Linked DNA regions of Mus musculus. The protein of the gene in region 3 interacts with the protein of the main gene of each other region in a biochemical or structural test. Links are inferred from orthologs where the notes say so. Each region holds a gene or a part of one and is shown on either strand. Other genes may lie near its edges.

Region 1 (4,397 bases), on a different chromosome or scaffold from region 3:
GATGCACAAAAACAATGGTGACTGAACTGATGGACACCGATTGCCCAGCGTACTGACAATAAAAGTGGCTCTCTCCCCACTTTAATCTCCTTAAACATGGAAGGCCCTGCTTCATGATAACTAAAGGTCTTCGGACAAGGACAGATCATCCACAGCAATCCAGTTGAGTCTCAACCTGTCCAAGGAAGATTAATTAAATTCTGCACACTAGCAGAAACTTCACTTGCAGATTAATACTAAGACATAATTTTCACTCCGGATTTTATTGAATAGTTTAGTAGTTTCATTTATAAGGAAAAAGAAAAGAACCCAATGGTTTATGAGTAACACCTCCACAGTAAAAAGAATCAGTTCACATTCACAAAGGTGTTAGGTTTCCGTTTCCTGTTTCCTAGTCTACCCACAGTGGCTAAGTACCATAAACAAGCAACTTTTCCTCCAGTCAGCCTTGAAATGGTCTCACAGGCGTCACAGGCATGGAAGGTCTCCTCAGAATTGGTGTGCTGCACTTTTTCACTTATGAATGTTTGTTATAAATGCCTTGAAGAGCAAATGGCATGTTATCTGTGCTTTCTCCTTTCTCATATTCCACCAAAAATACATTTGTTGTCCTTTGGCCTTCAGACACTTCCATTTTCTCGACTTTTGACTTCTTTCTCTGTGCCCCCCCAACAACAGAAGCCTCGCTGTAACTGATCACGTTTTCCCCCTTTTATTTCTTTTTTTTTGTTTTGTTTTACATCTTTTCAGTTATTAAATGGGAAGAAATCCAACATGCAGCTGAAGATCGCATATTTTTTTTCTAGCCTGCGTGTGTGTGTGTAAAATCACCCCGCCCTCATTTTGTATCTATTTCACCGCACTGTCGTGGCCAAGAACTTGAATTCCAAAATGGCTTGCTCCTTTCGAGCTGACATGGGCTATAAAAATGCAATTTATTCCCACTGCAACCAGCCCTTCTCCCTATTCTCTACCATTACGATTGCGAGAAGCACAGACAGCTAGTTGGGCCTGACAAGGGCTGCAAAGCACACCTTATCTGCTAAATCCAGCAGAGCCAGCAAAGCCGCCGGCACTGGTGGGGGAAGCGTTAAAGGCTGGAAGAAAACCCGAAAAACCCCAAGGCCCATGCTGCGCACACACACGGGGCCGCCTCGCGCCCTCCTGCTTCCACCGCCGGCCCCGCCCACCCCACGGGTCCCGCCCCCTCCGTCCCGCCGCGGCCACGCCCGACGTGTGGCGCGGCCCCGCCGGGCGGGGGCGGGGCCTGCGTCGCCCCTCCCCCGCCGCCGGCGGCCTCCGCGCGGGCCTCCCAGCCCCTATTCCACTCACTTTGTTCTGCGCCTTTGTCCTGGTCCGCACCAGCAGGTGGAGCCGCAGTGAAAGTTTCCCGTCCGTTCTGCGAGCGGGAGCCCATCTTGCTCGCCGCCGCGGCCCTCGCTGGAGGAGGAGGGTCAGAGCTCGGGGGCAGCCAATCGCGGGCAACGCTGCTAGTTATCAGGGCAGAATGGGCTGTAGTTTAGTGAAATAGGAAAGCTGCAAAACACCGTGGAGTGCCGCCGTGTAAATAAAAAGGAAAAAAAAGTTTCTCAAGTCGCAGCTGCACGACGTCGGGCCGCGCCGCGCCGGGGCGGGGGTCTGCGCTCTCGGAGCGGCCGCGCGCGGGACTCGGTGGTGCCGCCAGCCCCGGCCCCATTGTTTGTGTTTTCTTCAAAATATGGCAAAGGTTCAGGTGAACAATGTAGTGGTGCTGGATAACCCGTCGCCTTTCTACAACCCGTTCCAGTTCGAGATCACCTTCGAGTGCATCGAGGACCTGTCTGAAGGTGAGCGAGTGGCGCCGGGCTGTCAGTTGCGGCGGCGGACGTTAAAGTTTCCCGGCCCGGCCTCGCGCGGGGTGGGCCGCGGCCGGCGGCCGGCGGGAGGGCGGCCATGCGAGGGAAACTTGAAGTTGAGGGACGCCGGCCGCGCCGCAACTTGCGAGCAACTTGCCGGGCGGAGGGAGCCATGTTGTCAGCTTTGTCTGCGGCGGGCGGCGCTCGGCGGCCCCCGGCTCGCGCGGCGCTGGCGGGGGGTCGTGCGGCCTCGGCGGCCCCAGGGCCCCACGGCCCGGTGGGGAGCAAGCTGGGCCGGTGGGAAGCGGAGCCATCTTACCCGGCGGCACGACGCCTGCTCCGGACCGCCGGGGGCGAGCGGGCCCGCGCCTTCCCGCCCGAGCCCCGCCGAGGCTGTCCTCGCGCCGCTCTCCGGCTCCCTCCACCAACCAGCGCGGAAGGCGGGCGCTGGGCTCGGCCCCTCGGCGCCTGGCTCCCGGGGGGCGGCCGTGCTCTCCGCGGGCGCCCGGGATGCTGTGCGCCGCCTCTCCCCGGGGACAGAGACCTCTCGGAGAGAAATGGTGAGGGGCTGGGAAGTTCCATGGCACCCTAGAGCAGAAGCAGGGTGCTTAACCAATTCCAGGCACTTCTCTGGCGTTTAGAAAGTCTGAAAGACTTTCTCCAGAACGTGTGAAGAAGAAGCAATTAAAATAACTCCACGTCCAAGCAGATGGAGAAAATGCAAACGTTAGCTGGGAGATAGAAGGCAAAATCCTTTCTGAAGTACATTTTACGGTTTAAAAAATGCGAAATAGTGAGGTAATACAGAACTTAGAAAGCTAAAATATGGCTTCTTAACGCTTTTCTTAGATTTTATTAAAATCAATGCTTCATTTTCAACATTTGAAACAAAAAGTTTAACTTCATTGGTGTTAAATTTTAGTTAACTAGGAGGACATCTTGGGACTTGAAAGTATTTCGACAAAATGCCTTGTATTATCCTAATCATGACGAAAAGAATTTCTCTTTTAATTTAAAAGTTTATAATCTCTTCAATGTACTTCATGTAGAATGTTAACTTTAATTATAAAAACCATTGCAATAAACCTTTAAAAATTGTAAAAAGGAAGTCACAGCCCCTTCTCTTCACTCCTTTGGCTAACCATCACTTAAAACGTACCCTGCTGTTTTTAATACGTATGTAAATTATAACGTGCATACATTTAGTGAGTGGGACATATTTTGAAGATTGACTAAACATTAAAATATAGTAGTCTCTGAATAGACTGTGATGATTAATGTAAGTGTAAGGGTGTTTTCCATTTGAAATGTAACAGCATTTCCACATCAGACCTATTTCCAACCCCAACACTGATTTTAATTTTCTTTTTCAAACTGCCAATTTATATACAAATGATCAAATATAAAGTAAGATCATGGCTGAGTCCATCCTAACTCAGTGCAGTGTTCGAGGCATTAGAAGTTCTTTACACTACAGGTGTTTCTCATATGATGGCTTCCATTTTAGGTCCACATTGTATGAGGAAGATAGGCTCTAGGATATTGTTACAGAGTCATTACACTGGATAGTTCGAAACCAGCCACCCACAGAAACCAAACAGGGTTCCATGTTAAACAGGGATCCTTTCACAACAGTGTTATTACTCAAGTCAAGAATATGCCTTCCTCTAGTACAATTCAAAACCAGCGCACCATTATTTTAAGGTATTTTAAGCTGAGTCATTCCAAAGCTGCAGAGGAACCCTTGACAAAGGTGCCATTCCTGTCTACTCCATCTAGAGGCTCTGTGGAGCAAGGAGATGGGCGTTGATTTACCCTGCAGAAGCTCGTTTCTAGGGCCCATACTTTTGTTGTACTGTGACTTGTTAAGTTACTGATCAACGTAGAAATTCCTCTACAGGTAATTTTGAGTTTATGATTTGTGTCTACCTCCAACGTACCAATTAGCCTCCTTATTGTCAGGAATCCACTTGGTAGAAGGAGAGAACTGACTCCAACCAGTTGTCCTCTGACCTCCACATCAGTACCCATATATACAGAAACACACTTAAACATTTTTAAAGAGACTTTAAGTAGGGGCTTTATTATGCTTGATCACTAAGCCTATACGTTTAATTGGCCCTCCTTCAGTTTCTAAGGCTTAATACTTGCAGTGCATCAAAATTGACCCTGTGGCTTTATACTTTGAAAGTTCAGGCCTGTTCTGATTGCAAAGACTGTATATTTTCTACTAGACCACAGATTTTCCCAACAATGTAATTAACTTAAAATTTCCTTGGTAGTATCCCTTCCACCACATATGGAGATATTTTCTGGCTGGGATTACCATGAGTAAATGGAAAAGTTAACTTTTAAAATAAATGGATAATTTTCAGATTGAAACTCTTGTAGAGCCACAGCCCTTCACCATAACTCATAGAATACAGAGGCATAGAAAAGAGAAACCGGCTTCTAAACACATTGATAAATAAGCATGGCATCGCACTCAGACTCAACCTGTGCCCGTCCCTTGTTCTTAGTAAGGCTGGATTAACCCACTCTCCATTACCTGTCCTTATCCAC
Region 2 (2,652 bases), on a different chromosome or scaffold from region 3:
TGCTGTCTCTGCAGTGCTAAGCTAGAGCTAGAATATAGTAAGTCTTTTCTTCTGGAGGCATGCCTAACAGAATGAGGGCTACAGCTAGGACCAATGGAGCATACTGATCTCAGTACCCCAGCCCTGAAAGTTAGAGGCCAGCATCATCTACATAATGAGTTCCAGCCCAACCTAGGTTACATAGCAAGACCCTGTTTCCAGGTGTGTGAGGCTTGGGGAGCACCTGAGAAATGCTCAATGGTTAGGAGCACTGGCTACTCTTGCAGAGAACCTGGATTTGATTCTTAGCATCCACATTGGTAGCTCACAGCCACCTGCAATTTCAATTCCAGGGGAATCTATGCCTTCTTCTGACTTCCACAGGGATCTGGTATATACGTGACAAACAGACATCTCAATAGGAAAACATTCATACAATAAAAATAAAAATATTAAAAAAAGAAAGAAAGAGCGAGCGAATGGGCTGGAGAGATGGCTCAGTGCTCTTCCAGAGAACCCAGGTTCAATTCCCAGCACCCACATGGTGGCACATAACCAACTTTTACTCCAGTTTTAGGGGATCTATGCCCTCTTCTGGCCTCCAAAGGCACCAGGCACACATATGTGACATAGACATATTTACAGCCAAACACCCATATACAAAGTTTTTTTGTTTTTTTTTTTTAAATCAAATAAGCCAGGCATGGTAATACATATCTCTAACCCCAGTACTTGGGGGCGGGGGTTAAAGCACTTGGGGTGATATAGGCAGATCTCATGTGTTTAAGGCCCTCCTCATCTATATAGTTATAGGCCAACCATGGCTACATAGTTGAGACCCTCTCTCAAAACAACCCAAAACCAAATGAACAAAGCTAAGCAAACCCAGGATGAGAAGGCCCTATTCCTACCCAGAGTGTTCAAGTATCTCTAGGGTTCTACATCTGAGCAACAGGGGTGCTTGAGTCTGCTTTCAGGCTCAAAGTGGAGGTTTGAGGGAATAATGAACACTTAGGTGACAAGGGCTGACATTCTTCTTCTTACTACAGCTACAGCGGAACATCTTGGCCTCTAACCCCCGGGTGACCCGATTCCATATCAACTGGGACAACAATCCAGACAGTCTGGAAGCCATAGAAAACCAGGACCCCAATGTGGACTTCAGCCTTTCCCTCAGTTGCACTCCTGTTAAAAGCCTGGGCCTCCCTAGTTGCATCCCAGGCCTCCTCCCTGAGAACTCCATGGATTGCATCTGACAGGGGAGCCAGGTAGAGCTCAGTAGGACCACAGCAGTCTCCTTGCACACCTGGAGGGGACCTACAAGCCCTCAGTCAGACATGCTTGGTCATCTCAAGGATTTGGGGACCACCAGCTGTCTCCAGATCTGTCAGCCCCAAGAAAAAACAATGGGCCCCAATCTCTTCCATCCAGGTCCAGAAGAATCATCTCACTTATGACCTACTGACCTCTAAAAAGCAGGTACTTGTATTGCTCATTCTATGCGTCATTTTTCTTTATATATTATCAGTTTCTATGAGATGCTTTCTGAACACCACCTTCTGTGAGGCTTGCTTGGGCAGTGTCTGGCTAGCATTGGCCAGAGGTTATCACTCCTTCCAACTCTAGTTCTTGGGGACTAGGCAAGGAAGAAGTCCTAGTTCGAAGGCCAGCTCAATACAATGGCTATCCTTTCAGAGTGTCTAGGACATTCAGTCTAACTAGTACTACAAAACGCAAAAGTGAGCTCCCCAGGCCAATGAGGGATGTCAGGTACTTTGGTCACAGCCACCTTTTCATCTCCTGACTGAGCCTGGCTTTCTGAGAGGATTGCCCTAGGTAGGTATATTGGAGGTCCTGCTTCATGCATTCTGGCCCCATAGAGTCATCAGGGTTTGCTTTGACCACATGTTCATTCTCATGCTATACCCAAATACTCTGGGATAAAGGAGGTGTTTGGCAGGCTGACCTGAAAAACTCCCATTCCATCCACCTCTATCCTAAGCCCTTAGTTCCCTTGCTGCTACATGTATGCTATTGTGATTGCAGTGTGTATATTAAAAGGTTTTATATTAAAAGTTTTGGTTGTCTTAAGAATAAAAGCACTTCATCTAGATTGTTTTGCTTTTTTCTCTCCCCTCTCCTCCGTCCACCCACTCACACATAGCAGGCCTGGGATTCATTCTGTAGACCAGAGATCCACCTGCCTCTGCCTCTGCCTCCTCTGCCTCGAGTGATAGGATTAAAAGTGTACAATACCATACCTGCAAAAGGGTTGTTTTAATGTTGGTTTTTTTTGTTGTTGTTGTTGTTGTTGTTGTTGTTGTTGTTGTTGTTTTTCGAGACAGGGTTTCTCTGTGTAGCTCTGGCTGTCCTGGAACTCACTTTGTAGATCAGGCTGGCCTCGAACTCAGAAATCTGCCTGCCTCTGCCTCCCAAGTGCTGGGATTAAAGGCATGCGCCACCACTGCCCAGCTTAATGGTTATTTTGTTTTGTTTGGTTGTTTTTCTTTAGGGTTTATGGTGGTGGTGGTTTTGTTGTTTTGTTGTTTTTTTACGGGGGTGGGGGGAGAGGTTGGTTTGTTAGTTTGTTTTTTAGGTTTTTTTGTTGTTGTTGTTTTGTTTTTGTGTGTCTTTTTTGAAATAGAGTTTCTCTAGTTATCCTGGAACTTGATC
Region 3 (3,651 bases):
CTGAAGGATGGTTGGGCGAGGCCTGAGCTGAGCAGGCTAACAAAGGCCCTCAGCAGAGGAGACAGCAGCACAGAGCTTCCCCAGACCAAAGGGAAACACAGTTATGGAGCCTTAACTATGTATGTATGTGTGCACGTGCACACATCTCATCTCATAGCCCAGGCTAGCCTAGAATTCACTCTACAGTCCAAGCTGGCTTGGAACTCACCATGTAGATCAAGTAGGACTCAAACTCCCAGCAATTCTCCTGCCTCCTGAATGCAGGGAGTACTGAGTGCCGGCATGAACTACTATGTCTGGCTGTATTCGCTTACTTCTGCGTTTGAATTATTCTTCAGCAACCTTTGGTCTGGGATTCTTTTGCTGTGATTCCTCACCACTGTGCAACCGCACCCTGCCACTTTCAAGGAAGAGGATTTCTCTATTGTTCTTCCAGAGGCCTGCTCGTGCCTGGTCTCTCTCATTTCCCGTCTTAATGAGGTTGGTGTTCAGCACAAAGTGCCCCCATCCATCAGCTTGTCACACACAGGCTCGTCAGTTGGATACAGACACAACAGGAAGGACTTAGACCTGAATTCACCTCCAAGTACAACAAGCATCAACTTGAAATTCTATCCATTTAACTTCAGGCCCGTTTTGCTGGTAAGGGGCGGCTTCTAGACCATATAGAACTACAGACTGGCCCCAAAATTCACAGGCTTCACTCAAACTAAGCAATATTCAGTAATTCAAATTACCATTCTAAGGCCCTGGGTTCAGTCCATGAGAGGGTGAGAGAAAAGACTCCTCCATTTTCCCAACTCCTTCACCCCCTTCCCTTCCTCACTCATCCCACTGCCACCCCAATTCCACACCCACCGTCCATCGGCACTGCTAACCCACAGTGCCCATGACCCAGGGGACATGCCTCAACCTAATTCCTATGTGCTGCCCTCCCTAACACACCTGAGGGCATCTCTCTCCTTGAAAGACTTTCCAGGAAGTTGGCTCGGATTAAGGAAGGTTGGATTGAAAGGCAGGCTCAAGGGGGCCCACGTAAGCCCCACGTAAGCTAACCAGGGGATGGGCTTTGGGTTCCATTCTACTTCCTGGTGTCCCTTCACTCTTGAACCCACACATTTTGTATCTTTGCTTTCTAAGCTTGCTACACTTGATCAAAGCATTCCTCCTAAGAGCGAGCCACAGGACAGAGTCTAAACTGAGTTGATTTAAGACTTCTTCTGTCAATGCAATTAATCTGACGAGTCTCTTCACCTTAGCCTCAGGTAAGACTCTTGAAACAAGGGCAGAAAGCAGTCACATTCTTCACCAAAATATCAGAGCAGTCTCTAGGCACAAACTAAAGTTCTTCTCCTCGGAGACATCTAGAGCCAGGACCCCAGGGTTCAAATCACCCTCAGCACCACTGTCTTCCATATTCCTACTAGGATGGTCCATTAAGCCCCACTACAAGCATTCCACTGCTTCCAAATCCACGTTCTTCCAAACAAAAGCAAGATCAGGCCTATCAAAGCCATATCTGAGACCCTGGTACCAACTTCTGTTTTAGTTAGGGCTTTACTGCTGTGAACAGACACCATGACCGAGGCAAGTCTTATAAAGGACAACATTTAACTGGGCTGGCTTACAGGTTCAGAGGTTCAGTTCATTATCATCAAGGCAGGAGCACGGCAGCATTCAGGCAGATATGGTGCTGGAGGAGGAGCTGAGAGTTCTACATCTTGATCCAAAAGAAGCCAGAAGGAGACTATCTTCTGCAGGCAGCCAGGAGGAAGGTCTCTTCTGCACTGGGCAGAACCTGAACATAGGATCTCAAAGCCCACCCCCACAGTGACACACTTCCTCCAACAAGGCCACGCCTCCTAATAGTGCAACTTCCCATGGGACAAGCACACTCAAACCACCTCGTACTTCCTTTTATAAGTTTCTTCGGTGATGGTGACTTATCACAGCAATAGAAAAGTAACCAAGACATGGGTTAATAGACCAGGAAACCCGACCCCGGGACCTGAGTTTCTCAAGCAAAGACTTTGGAAGACAGAATAAGACAAGAACAGGACTCATCACTTGGCTGACCCTGGCAGAATGAAATGATGAAGGTCTGGGCAGTGCCTGGATTTCAGCCTCTGTCAAAACAGTTTCCAACTCAGCATCCCCAACCTCGTACCTCCTTCTTCCTCGTAGTAGCAGAAATAAACCACTTGGTTTGGAGCTCAGCAGGTCAGAGCACTAACTGCTCTCACAGAGGACCCAAGCTTGGTGGTTCCTAGACAACTGCCTGTAACTCTGGCTCCAGGGGATCAGGCAGCCTGTTCTGGATTTCATGGGCACTGCATGCACATACATGTGCACATACATATACACATAATGTTAATGAGATACGTATACAGCTCACCTTTACTGACATCCCATATGATAACTGTGTTATCCACAGAGGCAGAGGTCATCAAATTCCCATCGGTTGCCCAGCAAATATCATACACATCTTCTAAGTGGCCCCTAGAGCCCAAAGACAGAAGGATTAACATTATTACTGTAAAAAGAGAAAAGCTACCAAAAAGTTCAAAGTCACTGGGCAGTGGTGGTGCATGCCCTAAGGAGGCAGAAGAGTTCAAGGCCAGCCTAGTCTACAGAGTGAGTTCCAGGACAGCAAGGGCTATAGAGAAACTATGTCTTGAAAAATAGGGGGGGGAAAAAAGTTCAAAGTCTATAACCACACATTGGAATTAGACTCTAGGAATTTTCCATGGAGATGTGTCAGCCCTGGCTATAAACAGCTGTTTTCAAAGACATCTGTGTCTAACGTGATAATCTAGGCACTAGGAAACTGAGGGGATAGGGTGGAGTATTCAAGGCTAGCCTGGGCTACTCAGCTGGACTAGCCTGGCTCAAAAACCAGATGGGGGAAGACTTGATTCTTTTTTACCTGATTCTTTTTTACTTTCTATTTTCATAATAGAAAGAAAAAAATCTATTTTTATAATGTTTTTATTGTCTTATAAAGTAGGCACAGGCTTTAAGTTAGGTACATAAACTATTAAGGTATTCAGGCTGTAAAGAAGAGTCACTTGGGGGCTGGAACTTAATCACGGTTCTGGCTCCTCCAGAAAAGTCAGGTTTTGTTCTCGGGTAGCACAGAACCTGTGACTGCGGTTCCGAGGAATCTGCTACCCTCTTCTGACCTCAGCAGGCACTCACACACACAACACTCTCAGTCATAAACTAAACAATCATAAATTAGAATAACCAGAATATACCTTCAAATAAAAATGGATTGTGGCCACAGTCCCTCCCCTGTTACCTCAGGGTCTTTACCACAGTCCAGTTCTCCTTATTCAGCTGCGCCTCCTCCTCATCCTGAAAGGCGATCTGCTCCGGCTCCTTGCTGTCATTCATCTTCCACAACAGAATGACGGCATCTGTGAGGTAAATCAGTATAGCATGAACCAGGCCCTTCCATGCCCTCCTTCATGTCTGGAGTTTTAGAGTGTCCTGTATGCTTTATATTGTTCAATGGACTCTCTGGCCATGAGGAGTCACTCATATCCAAGAATATGGCTAGGTGGTGCGTGGTGCATGCCTGTAATCTGGCCCTTGGGAGTCTGAGGCAGGTGGATCTGAAGTGCAAGGTTACATGGTGAGTTTGAGGTT

The links.
Region 1: the proteins of Chaf1b (region 3) and Asf1a form a complex in vitro, tested with the Homo sapiens proteins (2 studies listed by BioGRID and IntAct). The link is inferred for Mus musculus from reciprocal best matches to the Homo sapiens genes CHAF1B and ASF1A.
Region 2: the proteins of Chaf1b (region 3) and Asf1b form a complex in vitro, tested with the Homo sapiens proteins (2 studies listed by BioGRID and IntAct). The link is inferred for Mus musculus from reciprocal best matches to the Homo sapiens genes CHAF1B and ASF1B.

The regions. Positions count from the first base shown.
Region 1 is NC_000076.6:53,595,473-53,599,869, forward strand, and holds the start of Asf1a (histone chaperone ASF1A), read left to right. Parts: upstream 1-1,488; 5' UTR 1,489-1,717; coding exon 1,718-1,826; exon of another isoform or gene 1,827-4,397. UniProt on the Homo sapiens protein: Histone chaperone that facilitates histone deposition and histone exchange and removal during nucleosome assembly and disassembly.
Region 2 is NC_000074.6:83,968,106-83,970,757, forward strand, and holds the end of Asf1b (histone chaperone ASF1B), read left to right. Parts: intron 1-1,028; coding exon 1,029-1,235; 3' UTR 1,236-2,090; downstream 2,091-2,652. UniProt on the Homo sapiens protein: Histone chaperone that facilitates histone deposition and histone exchange and removal during nucleosome assembly and disassembly. Cooperates with chromatin assembly factor 1 (CAF-1) to promote replication-dependent chromatin assembly.
Region 3 is NC_000082.6:93,886,890-93,890,540, reverse strand, and holds part of Chaf1b (chromatin assembly factor 1 subunit B), read right to left. Parts: intron 3,420-3,651; coding exon 3,302-3,419; intron 2,500-3,301; coding exon 2,396-2,499; intron 1-2,395. UniProt on the Homo sapiens protein: Acts as a component of the histone chaperone complex chromatin assembly factor 1 (CAF-1), which assembles histone octamers onto DNA during replication and repair.